3 linked regions of the Lytechinus pictus genome follow. The protein of the gene in region 3 purifies or fractionates together with the protein of the main gene of each other region. This does not show direct contact. Links are inferred from orthologs where the notes say so. Each region holds a gene or a part of one and is shown on either strand. Other genes may lie near its edges. The genes, in order: cullin-2-like, DNA damage-binding protein 2-like and COP9 signalosome complex subunit 6-like.

What was found.
Region 1: the proteins of COP9 signalosome complex subunit 6-like (region 3) and cullin-2-like purify together in Homo sapiens (affinity purification with mass spectrometry; 5 studies listed by BioGRID and IntAct, counting the BioPlex papers as one, with this or other methods). This does not show direct contact. The link is inferred for Lytechinus pictus from reciprocal best matches to the Homo sapiens genes COPS6 and CUL2.
Region 2: the proteins of COP9 signalosome complex subunit 6-like (region 3) and DNA damage-binding protein 2-like purify together in Homo sapiens (affinity purification with mass spectrometry; 8 studies listed by BioGRID and IntAct, counting the BioPlex papers as one, with this or other methods). This does not show direct contact. The link is inferred for Lytechinus pictus from reciprocal best matches to the Homo sapiens genes COPS6 and DDB2.

The regions. Positions count from the first base shown.
Region 1 is NC_087257.1:3,627,495-3,631,094, forward strand, and holds the start of cullin-2-like, read left to right. Parts: upstream 1-936; 5' UTR 937-1,114; intron 1,115-3,600.
Region 2 is NC_087258.1:23,628,707-23,632,667, reverse strand, and holds the start of DNA damage-binding protein 2-like, read left to right. Parts: upstream 1-1,647; 5' UTR 1,648-1,994; coding exon 1,995-2,168; intron 2,169-3,961.
Region 3 is NC_087260.1:11,647,376-11,650,975, reverse strand, and holds the start of COP9 signalosome complex subunit 6-like, read right to left. Parts: upstream 2,350-3,600; 5' UTR 2,324-2,349; coding exon of another isoform or gene 2,258-2,323; 5' UTR 2,034-2,257; coding exon 1,868-2,033; intron 1-1,867. Other genes in the region: cyclic AMP receptor-like protein A, read left to right, coding at 2,258-2,323. UniProt on the Homo sapiens protein: Component of the COP9 signalosome complex (CSN), a complex involved in various cellular and developmental processes.

The sequences.
Region 1 (3,600 bases), on a different chromosome or scaffold from region 3:
TTTTAGTTCAAATTTACTCCTCAATATACGAAAAAACCTAGAGTATATAGGGGTGTGGGCTACTAAAACTAAAGCACTAGCCCGTTGTTTTTCTTTACGAATTGAAAGAAGGGAAACCCCCCTACACACACCCAAAATATATTTCAGGAGCAATCTTCCAATTGTATTTTATAAAGAGGACTTTTAGTTCAAATTTACTCCTCAATATATATAAAAACGTGGAATATATATATACGAATGTATATGAGTGTGGGCTACAAAAACTAAGGCACTAGCCCCCTGTTTTTCTTTACAAATTGAAAGAAGGGAAACCCCCCTCCACACACCCAAAATATATTTCAGGAGCAATCTTCCAATTGTATTTAATAAAGAGGACTTTTAGTTCAAATTTACTCCTCAATATACGAAAAACCCTAGAGTATATAGGGGTGTGGGCTACTAAAACTAAAGCACTAGCCCGTTGTTTTTCTTTACAAATTGAAAGAAGGGAAACCCCCCTACACACACCCAAAATATATTTCAGGAGCAATTAATCTTCCAGTTGTATTTTATAAAGAGGACTTTTTGTTGAAATTTACTCCTCAATATACGAAAAAACATAGAGTATATAGGGGTGTGGGCTACTAAAACTAAAGCACTAGCCCGTTGTTTTTCTTTACGAATTGAAAGAAGGGAAACCCCCCTACACACACCCAAAATATATTTCAGGAGCAATCTTCCAATTGTATTTTATAAAGAGGACTTTTTGTTGAAATTTACTCCTCAATATACGAAAAAACATAGAGTATATAGGGGTGTGGGCTACTAAAATTAAAGCACTAGCCCGTTGTGTTTCTTTACAAATTGAAAGAAGGGAAACCCCACCTGACCCCGTTTGTTTGATTTGTGTACAAGAATGCACGCTTCTCTTCGTGCGCAAAATCCTGTATCTGATCTATCTTACATCGCGATATTGTTGGCTGGAACTGTTGGCTGGCTTGCTGTTGGCTAGCTTATTGTTGGCTGACTCTACTCCGGCAGTGACATCATCATTCACCTTTAATAAGCTTTTGATCACAAATACTGAGTAACACAGTAGGGCATAGGAAAGACAGAGGAAAGGTCTTCTTTGAAGGTGAGAAACTGCACTTCTGAATGTTCTGGAAATTGTCAAGGCGTCAACTTTGCTTTTGCTTTCTTCACTTCAGTCCCTCTCGTAAGGATCTGCGCTGGGCCAACTCCCTTAAATATGGCAATGGCAGGTTTTCGTCAATTGCGCGATTTGCGGCCGGTTGTCTAAACATTCAGTTAATATCTAGAAAATCTGATATCATAAACACAACAGAAAAAAGCAGCCTTACACTTATCACAGATTATTTACAAAATGATTCAAAATCATGTTGTGGTGTTTGGAACCACTCGTCTGCTCGTCAATGTGAATGTCAATGACATTGTCATTGACAGTGGGTGATTTCAAAATTCAAGTATGGTGAGACTACCACATATCGACCACCTCTTTTGAAACCGACCACCTTGCGCGCGTTAAAATTATTGCGTATTACAAACGATACGCGCGGGAGAGTAGGCGCAGTGTCCATGGAAACGGTAAGAATCGATTTTACGAGAGAAAAAGAAGCAACAAAAAGTTAAAATTTAGTAGGCCTAGAATTAATCAAAATTGTATTGACCAGACCCAAACCCCGCTGAAAAACCAAGAAATCCGATAGGAAACGGCTTTAGAACAAATATCCGTCGTCAATCATCGAATCATGTGCCGGAGCTCGCAGTGGAAGTAGTGAGACAATCATTTAGCATGTTGACATCATAGAACTGATTTGGAAGAATAAAAATATTTCGCCACCGCGACAAGAATCGGCCGTAAACTTAGTGTATCGCGGGTGGTCGGTTTCAAAAGACGGGTGCAAATGAGCAAATGCAAAATCGTCGTATTCGTTGTTCGTCGATATATACGCGGATTGAATCGGAGTCGCCGAGCGAAACATGGGAATTTGATCTGCTCAATTTTCTGCACAAATGAGACGAAAACTGGGTAAAATTGATGAATATTTTCGCAGATATGATGCTTAGAAGATTAGGTGGTCAATAAGGGGTAGTTCCAACCATAACTGTTATTTAGTAACTTAGATCTACGGTGTTCAGTTTCGGTGTTGGTGTTAAGCGTGAAAAGGCTGCTAAACCGAGCTCCAACACCGATCTGGGTTCAGAGGAGCGATACCGATCGTGTTATCGATAGCTAGTAAGATGTCACGCCTCTGCCCTGCGCTGCTGATCATCTCAACTTCACGCGAGAAATTCTCGACGGCGGAAGTGAAATCAGGGAGAAATTGCAATAAAATCTTATTGTACAGAATGCAAAGATTAAAATTACTGCAAGAATCGGAAAGCGTAAATATCATTTTCATCTTAACTGTAAAAGATAATTTTACAGGGATGTTTCATTGTGTTCACCGCCTGTTCATGAGCTACAGTTCATCAACACCGAATTTGAAATCACGATTTTCCCAATCCCTGGGGGTTGGTGTTGGTGAATGGGGAAATTACATGTAGATCGTCAACACCAGCTGTAATGTTCAGTTCAGCAGACGAAATTCAACACGAACTGCCGGAAATACATCATATTTTCTGAGGTCAATCCCAACACCTGCGTGATATTTCAAGTACGGTGTTGTGGCTGGTGTTGATGTTTTCACAACACCAACACCAGATTTCAACACCGTACTTGAAATCACCCAGTGGCGATGCAATGTAACTTAACCTAAAAGCACAATTTTATTGTCATGTTGTGAAATTGTGTTAGAAACTATTAGTTAGATGAATCAAGGTGAAAGTAGGCAACCAGTTGTCATTATCATGAAAATTAGTCTTCTTGTGTGTTTCGGTGAGTGTGCGCTCACGGTGTAATCATGTCAAATGGAGGAGAACACTACCGTACTAGGAGTGTTCACGATGAGTAACTCATCCACATGAACGCCTTGCCCCAAGGCCAAACCTAAAGGATACCCCCAGGGACATCGGCAAGGCTTCCATATGTCCCCTCCACTAAAATTGAAAAAAAAAATATGGAGAAGGTTTATCAAGAATTATCTAACACATATCTAAGAGATTTAGGAAGGTAAAGTTGGATACATACCAAAAAAAGGCTTTATTCCGTCAAAATCTTGAGTGTGTAATTTCCAATGGCATTGGTTTATTTAGTCAGAAAAGTGAATACCCAATACTATTGGATATATCGGTTGACAACCGTTATGAAACCCATGGCTTTCAACAATTCCTGCTAGCTCAGTGAGTAAGGCGACAGACTGGAGATGCCATGTGCTGCAGCAAGAGGTTCAAATCCAAGAATCCAACCGGAAGTAAGAAGGAAAAAAATAAGAAAAAGATAACGAAAGAAGGGCGTTTGGAGAAGTACTTTTTCAATTAGTGGAGGGGACATAAGAAAGTCTTTCCGGGACATCATATCACACTTCTCAACAATTATGTGACATTGAAACGAAAAGGCATCACAAATACACTTGAAAGTAAACGAACAAAACATACAACAATACAGCCATAGGCTGTTATAAAAAGATTTATGTTGAAACTTCAGGTTCATTATTATTT
Region 2 (3,961 bases), on a different chromosome or scaffold from region 3:
ATAGGAGAGAGGTGAGTGAGGGAAGGTTGTACTTAGAGAGCAGTTTATTCCAATAGATGATAGTAGGAGTCTTGATGGAGAGGGCATGGAGGAATGAGCAAAATTCAAATCTAATATGGTCAATGTTGAAGAGCTGTCCTATCAGAAGGAAAGTGTTTAGTTCAATCTCGCGGGAGAGGTGAAGTAGGTCAGTTAACAGGAAGATAGAGATATTGGGGGCAGATCTCGGTAGACCCAAGAGTTTCTTGAAAAGGGAGTGTTTGAGTGAGGTTTGAGTGAAACACAGGAGCTGTGAGCCATAGGTCATTCGGGGTAGGCAGAAAGTTTTCCAGAGCTTCGCAAGGGTGTGGGGGAGGAAGAGGTTATTGCTGCTGTTGCTACCGATGATGGCAAAGAGGGTGTTGTATCCCTTGGTGATTATGTGTTGAGTGTGGTCATACGCGATGGTTGATTTGGTGATGCCAAGGTGGGGATGATGAGAGACCTCTCTGATTCTGTCACCGTCAATGAAGAATTGGAAGGATGGGTGGATGCTGCGCTTTGACTTGAAGATGAGGATGGCACTTTTTGAGGGATTGATAGAGTTTTCCCAATGAGTGGCATATTCATCTGTGACATTCAGCATTTGCTGAAGTTCAGTGGGAGAACTTGCAAGAAGGGCAACATCATCAGCAAGGATAATTACACCTGCGTATCTATTCTGGAAGGTGCAGCCAAGCCCCTTGTCCCGGAGAGTCTTGACGAGGCCATCAACGAATACGTTGTACAGCGTGGGAGAGAGTATTCCTCCTTGTCTGACACCCTTGTTTAGTGGGATGAAGGAACTGACAGAACCTTTCCAGGTGACACGGCTTGAAGCACCTTGGTAGAGGGCATTCAAAGTAGAGGATGTGTGCCCATGTGTGCCAAAATAAGGTTGGCAATGTTCTCTTTTCTCTGGAATAATTGCTTGATTGTGTGACACTGTCAGAGTCCATTACAGCTAATCATATTATTATTATAACTTGGCTCTTAAGTAAATTTGATTCTTTTAATTATTTCTTCTAAAATAAAAAGAGATTGAAAAATGAAAAAAGTAAAACATTTTGCATGATAATTGACAAACATGACAAATTGTCTTGATTCTTCTGAAAAATTAAAGCAAACTTTTTTCTATTTCACAAATAGGGGCCTAAATATTGAAAGAAAATGCAACTTCGTTTTGGTGACCAATTCCAAAAAGCATGAAATATACAAGTTACAACCCCCCCCCGACCGACAACATTAATTATCATTACATGGGCATTTTTTACACCATGTTCAGCATTGTCAGTGTCACTGCCAGAGTGCCAGTGCCAGACAGTCAGTGACAGTGGCAATGGCCGTGCCCGCGGCCGCTCAGCGCAGCTCGACAATATATTACCGGTGTTTCCAGGAATCTGTGCTTCTTCCAATATTTTCAAATTTCCATCGATCGACGCCTTGTTTCCATTCATCTTGTGGTTTCCACCAACAAAGAAACGCCTTCCACTTGCCATTTTGTCTTTTGAGATGAAATACAGTCGTACAGGTGAGTAAAAGAGGTGGGTATTCGAAGAGGAACTGCAATCAAGTTCTGTCCTGCATGCACTGTACACCTTGACCTGGATGGAACTCCCAGGTCAGTCTGATTTACTTCCGGTTTTCTTGCACGTACCCATTTGCCGAGTTTGTAAAGACGATAAAAACTTTTAACAATATTTAACACTTTAACTGTAAATGAAATAAACAAATTATTACTTTTTAATATATAAATATTTAATTTATCATAGTGCATCAAAACATTATTGCATATAAAAATTCATTGGAGACAGTTCCACTTCTCGATATGGACCATATCGCGGGAAAAATGTTACGCAAGTCCTATTTTGTAAACATCAAACAGCTGACATGAGCTTATGAAATATAAGCACGTGGACGTACTTCAAATGTACTGCCACCGCACTGAGATGTGTCAGAGGCGAAGCTAGATTTTGATGAAATTTGTGATCCCTGAATCGCTTAAAATGGCACCGTCTATGTCAAGGAAAAAGAAAGATGGATCTAAGGGATGCATTGTGACAACTGTCGGAGATGTCGCGAAACTCCCGAAAGAAAAAGTTTCCAAAACTCGATCCAGATCCAGCAGCAGAGCCAGAAGCAGAACTGTGGTGAGTGGATCGCGGCGCGCGGTGTCGCTCCAGGGAGCCGGGATCGGGAGGGAGAAACAATACGACAACCATGGCATGACTAGCCAGGAGGCTTCTAGAGAGTAAAAATAATTTACTAACGTATGCTTACTCTCAACGAAGCCTGGAATAACATCTTAGGGGATGTTACAGTAAAATATTTGGAATCAGTTGCAAAATTCAGGAGCTAATTTACATTGAATGATGATTGAAGGGATATATCAATTTTGACAAAGTCAAATCAATTTATACTTGTTGTTTGTTGATACAATTACAAAAAGAAGACGTGTACGGTCAATCAATGACAAATATTTGGGCTTAACTGCAGAATACCCCGACACTGCTCACTACCCAATCGTTGGTCAGCCAACACAACGATGTCAAGACCTATAGCTATATACTAATTCAATGGTATATAGCCTAGATATATCCCACTCATGGGATCAATGCATCTCGCGTGCGAAGGATTCATATGCACATGGTGCACGCGAATTTTTCACACCCTTTTTACTAAAATAACTATGCCATTTCTTTTAAAATAATGTTTCTAATTGTGCTATGACACTTACCGAACCATATGGATCGTTTCTTGTCTTCTCTTTGGTGTGTTTTTAAGAAAAAAAAAGCATTTTCTCGTGATCTTCACGTAGATACCGCAGGGTCATTGTGGTTGTAAACTTTTGCTTAAAGAGGGCGCGCGATATTATTCACAAGATGTTTGTTTACGGTTCTGCAGGTTGTACTGCTAGCTGCATTTTAGACGCTCAGCATTATTTTCCTCTTTCTGTTTTTTTTTTTTGCTGTCAAGCGGTATTTTCTATTATTTGTAGCGCCATCAGCGATGATGAAATGTAAAGTCAAGAGTCGCCTTGAAATGAAGAAAAATTATGTCCCATTAATTCGTTAGTTTGTTTCCTATTTTTTTGCACTTTTTTCTTCTTCCTCATCTATGATCAAAGGTGAATACCTTTTTTTGATATCTGTTCTAAAAGCTGGACATTTTAAATATTTTGTTCAAGTAAATAAATCAACAGGATAGTAATCAAAATGCGATAGAGCTGCCCGAGCTGAAAATTCTGATACAAGGACTTGAAAATAAAACATTCTGAGCACTTTTTATAACCATGATGAGGAGACCTATATATATTTTATGGCCTCCTTTTCCCTCTCTCTCCTCTACTTTTCCCCCTCCCCTGATCTGTCTTTTATTGTCTCTCCTTTCCTTTCCCGCCCCCTCCATTCCCTTTCTCCCTTTTTCCTTTCCCTTCTTTTCTTTCCTTTCTCCCTCCCCTACTCTTTTCTCGCTATTTCCATTTTTCTTTCTCTCTCCCTTCCCCTCTTCCTTTCCTTTGTTTTCTTTCTATTTTATGGTCTCCTTTTCCCTCTCTCTCCTCTACCTTTCCCCCTCCCCTTTTCCTTTCCCTTTCCCTCTCCTTTTTTGTGCAAACATTAACACGAATATCTTGCTTCCTACACACACACACAAACGCCCGCAATCTAACACACGTAATGCGAAACAATCGGGACATTATCATTTTGTTCATATATATATATATGTATATTTTCTCAATGAACATTTTCATCTATTTAAAGCTTTGAAAATTATTAAACAATGATTCCATAGGCGAAATCTCAATGATCATTAGGAAGGTACTTTACCCATTTTCATTTTATGTCATTGTGATTATTCCATACTAAGGCAACATATTTTGGATATAAAAATACGTGAAGGATATGTTCCTCTTCTGTTTTATACTTTAACAGAAAACATTTTG
Region 3 (3,600 bases):
CAGAAGGAATGGTGTAAAGAAGAAAGCAGAACACAAAATATAGGGCTAATCACTGGCGGATCCGGGGGGGGGGGGGGCAAATCTCGCCCCTTTGAAAGTGAACACTTTTTTTTCCTTGTCAAACTTTTTCGTGGACAAGATGTGCCTAATTTTTGGTTAAAAACCTTCTTTTTTGTTTGCTTGTCAAATTTTTCCTCGGGAAAATGTGCCCCCCCCCCTTTGGAAAATCCTGGATCTGCAAGTCAATATCAGGTCCCAAAGTCACTTGAAAGTCATGCATTTCATTGCAAATTTGCAATTGATTGATGGTCTGCTCCTTGCATTGATAAACAAATTATAAATTGATTTATTTTAGGTAGAATTTATCGGTCACTTTGCAATTGATTTCAAATATTTTTTTTGCAACACCTTCTAAAAGACATCAATTCTGCACAAAACAACAAGAATTGAACATTGAATTGTTGAATTCCAGAGCTTTGTCCTTGTTGTCTGAACCAACAATGCACATGATAAAATGGAATACATTGCAAAATCGTTGAGCCAATTACCAGCAAGGCAATTGAAACTGTGAGGTGTTTTGATTGTCCTGGCAAGCTGTTGGCCCAATGACATTGCATAACGGCTTTCTATGACAAAAAAAGTCAAATGGTCTGGGCCCCTGCAACACAAAGTTTATCTAGCAATTATGAAATGGCCTATCAAGATCATCGTTGCATGCGCATTTTGCTCATACTAGTACTACTTACTAAGAACCAATAAGAACTGTTCTTTAAAATCAGTGACTAATCACTAACTTTTGACTTTGATGGAATAACCAGTTTTTCTTTTTAGAATTAAAATTCTTCTTGCACTTTTGCAGTTCTTTCCGTTCTTAAATTAAAAAAAACTTTTGACTATTTGTTTGGTCTAATTTTGTAGCATTTTTCGAAGAAAAGTCAGATTTCAATATTAGTAAAAACATATCATATTCACATGTTTATATCTTGACACAGACAGGGGAGCCAGGCGCTAGTGTAGTTTTGCACCTCCCCGTTTAATGGTTTTCAAACATGTACAATCTCACCCTAAATAATTCACAACCTAAAATACTTGCATCTGAGCCTCCAAAGTCCAGTAGAAGTTGAATATTTGCCGTTTTGACACTTTTTTTTACAAAGTTTTACAACTATTTCGGAATCACTCGGTCGCTTGAAGCTCAGCGCTGCACATAAGCAGTCGGTACGCGTACAGTACGTACCAACTAGTGAAGTGCAAGAAGAGCGAGTTTTTCTATGGTATCTTCAAAAAGATTTTTTCCCCTCTTTCAGCTTGCACCAAGTATTACGGTAGTGGTTGTGCAGAGTGGTTGATGTTTGTTGTGTGAAGGTGTGTGTGGGGTGTGCGTGTGTGTGCTTGTTTGAATGAAATAAGAAATGTAAAAAATGTGAATACACGTAGATTTAGCGATGAAATAAGAAATAATAATGTAGAGCCTTGTTTTGAACTCTAGACCTAGAGTTCAAAACAAGGCTCTAAACCGAGACCGAGTGTTTCCGAAATAGGTGTAATTTGTAAAACTTTGTAAAAAAGTGTCAAAACGGCAAATATTCAACTTCTACTGGACTTTGGAGGCTCAGATGCAAGTATTTTAGGTTGTGAATTATTTAGGGTGAGATTGTACATGTTTGAAAACCATTAAACGGGGAGGTGCGAAACTACACTAGCGCCGGGAGCCAACTTCAGCCAACCTTGTTACACTCACACAATCACAGACACAGCATCATTGACATTGTCACATTCACAGTCACTCACACGTCTTTGTGAACACACATGATATACAATGCGTGGGACAATGTAGAGTACAAATACAATTACAAAACTGTCTTACCCTGGGTAGGTTTTCCTTCTTGTGCACGGATTCTAGTCCAATGTTCTGAAATATTCATGACAACCAGGGGATGAAGAGCAACTGCCACGCTTCCTGTCCCTCCAGAAGCCATAACAGCTGACTGTGAAGAGGATGAACTCCCTTCGATTTCCATTTCCGACGCCATCTTGAACTTGATGTAGTCTTTGACTTGATTACGTAACGAATATGGGCGTGGCTTACCATAATTTTCATTCACAGGATCGGATCAGAATTTGAGTGCGGTGGAAAAATGAGTCAGACATTATTTTCGTCTTTCGGAGTTTGTTTCATGAATTTTTCCATTCAAGTTGAGCTAAAAATCGAGGGAGTGGATCTATAAGTTATTTGTTTGTGATATTTTCAACAAAGATGGCAGATCCTACGAGCGCACCGCTTGAAGAATGCCCGTTGTTTAATGGTGACGTTACAAAATGTGTGAGTGTAGCTGTAGTCGCAGTCTTAACATTTGATTTGGCCAGAGGTCCCCCGTGCAATCCCGGCTTTGCCTTGGCTTTGGCCGGGGCTTTTTAGGGGTTCGTTTGGTTTAGGCTAGGCTAGATCTAAAAAAAAAAAAACAGTTTGCATTTTTTTTAAAGAAACAGATGTGGAAGCAAAATGAGCATGCAAAATAAACAAGAGGCAAGAAATAAGATGGGGAAAAACGTTTATTGTAATTGTAAAATGACATGATTGAATGAGATGAAAAAAGAAAATGAATGGGAATGGCATGATATAATTTATGATGAGGAGTCCGACTCCAACCTCCAAGAAGTCAACTGAAAACAAATATAAGAACAAGGTATATTGGTTGGTTGGTTGGTGTTGGAGTTAAGTTGGCGCTCTTCAATCTGGTAGATTATCTGCGCCAGGTCGTTTCCGAGTTAGTTGCTTAATTCCCGCATCAATGTCCTCGGCGTTAGACTAGTCTTACCTGTCATATAGCGAGGTGCAATATAATTATGATTAGTTACCATATATTGCTAATCAGAACTGCAATGCATCATGGGATTGAAAAGGGGGCAAGCTAGCTGCTATTCAGACGACTGTTCACAATCACATTTCGACTTGCGGCTGGGAGTAACGTAATCCTTATTTTCACAATTTCAAGAATTTTCATCATGCCAGGTGACCGGTGGTGATCATTGGGCTGTTTTTGGTTGTGTCTCTGCCCCCTTTTTGATCCCATCATGCTTTGCGGTGCAGCGACCTCTGTTGATATTTGCTGATTCGCGATAAACCTTATTAACCTAAAAGATTGATCTTGACGTTGCTTGTAAAATTAACAAGTTGAAAGGTAGGGAGAAGGAGGTGAAAGCTTTATTCTTCATTTGATTTCCTGGGATTAATTTTTTGTAGTCTATTTTAAACATGAACGTTATAATGAAATGAAACCATACTTTTTCAACATTGTTACTTTAGATTAAGGGGAATCTAACCTTGGACCTTGGTATTCAATAGACTGAAAATTTTGAAGTCTCTGTTTTGTTGGGTGGTGGAATATGTCTTGGTTCACTATTCCTCCTCCATAGACCAAAGTCATTGTTTCCACTCTGATATGTCTGCAGCCAGTGCAGGAACCTATTGTATTAAACCCCAAAATTCAGATTGATTTTGACTGTTAATACAAACATTTTCATCAAAATATATTAAAAATGATCAGAATCTTGTCTGATTCACCACCTCAGTGCAATTTTGTGACAAATTAAGAATAA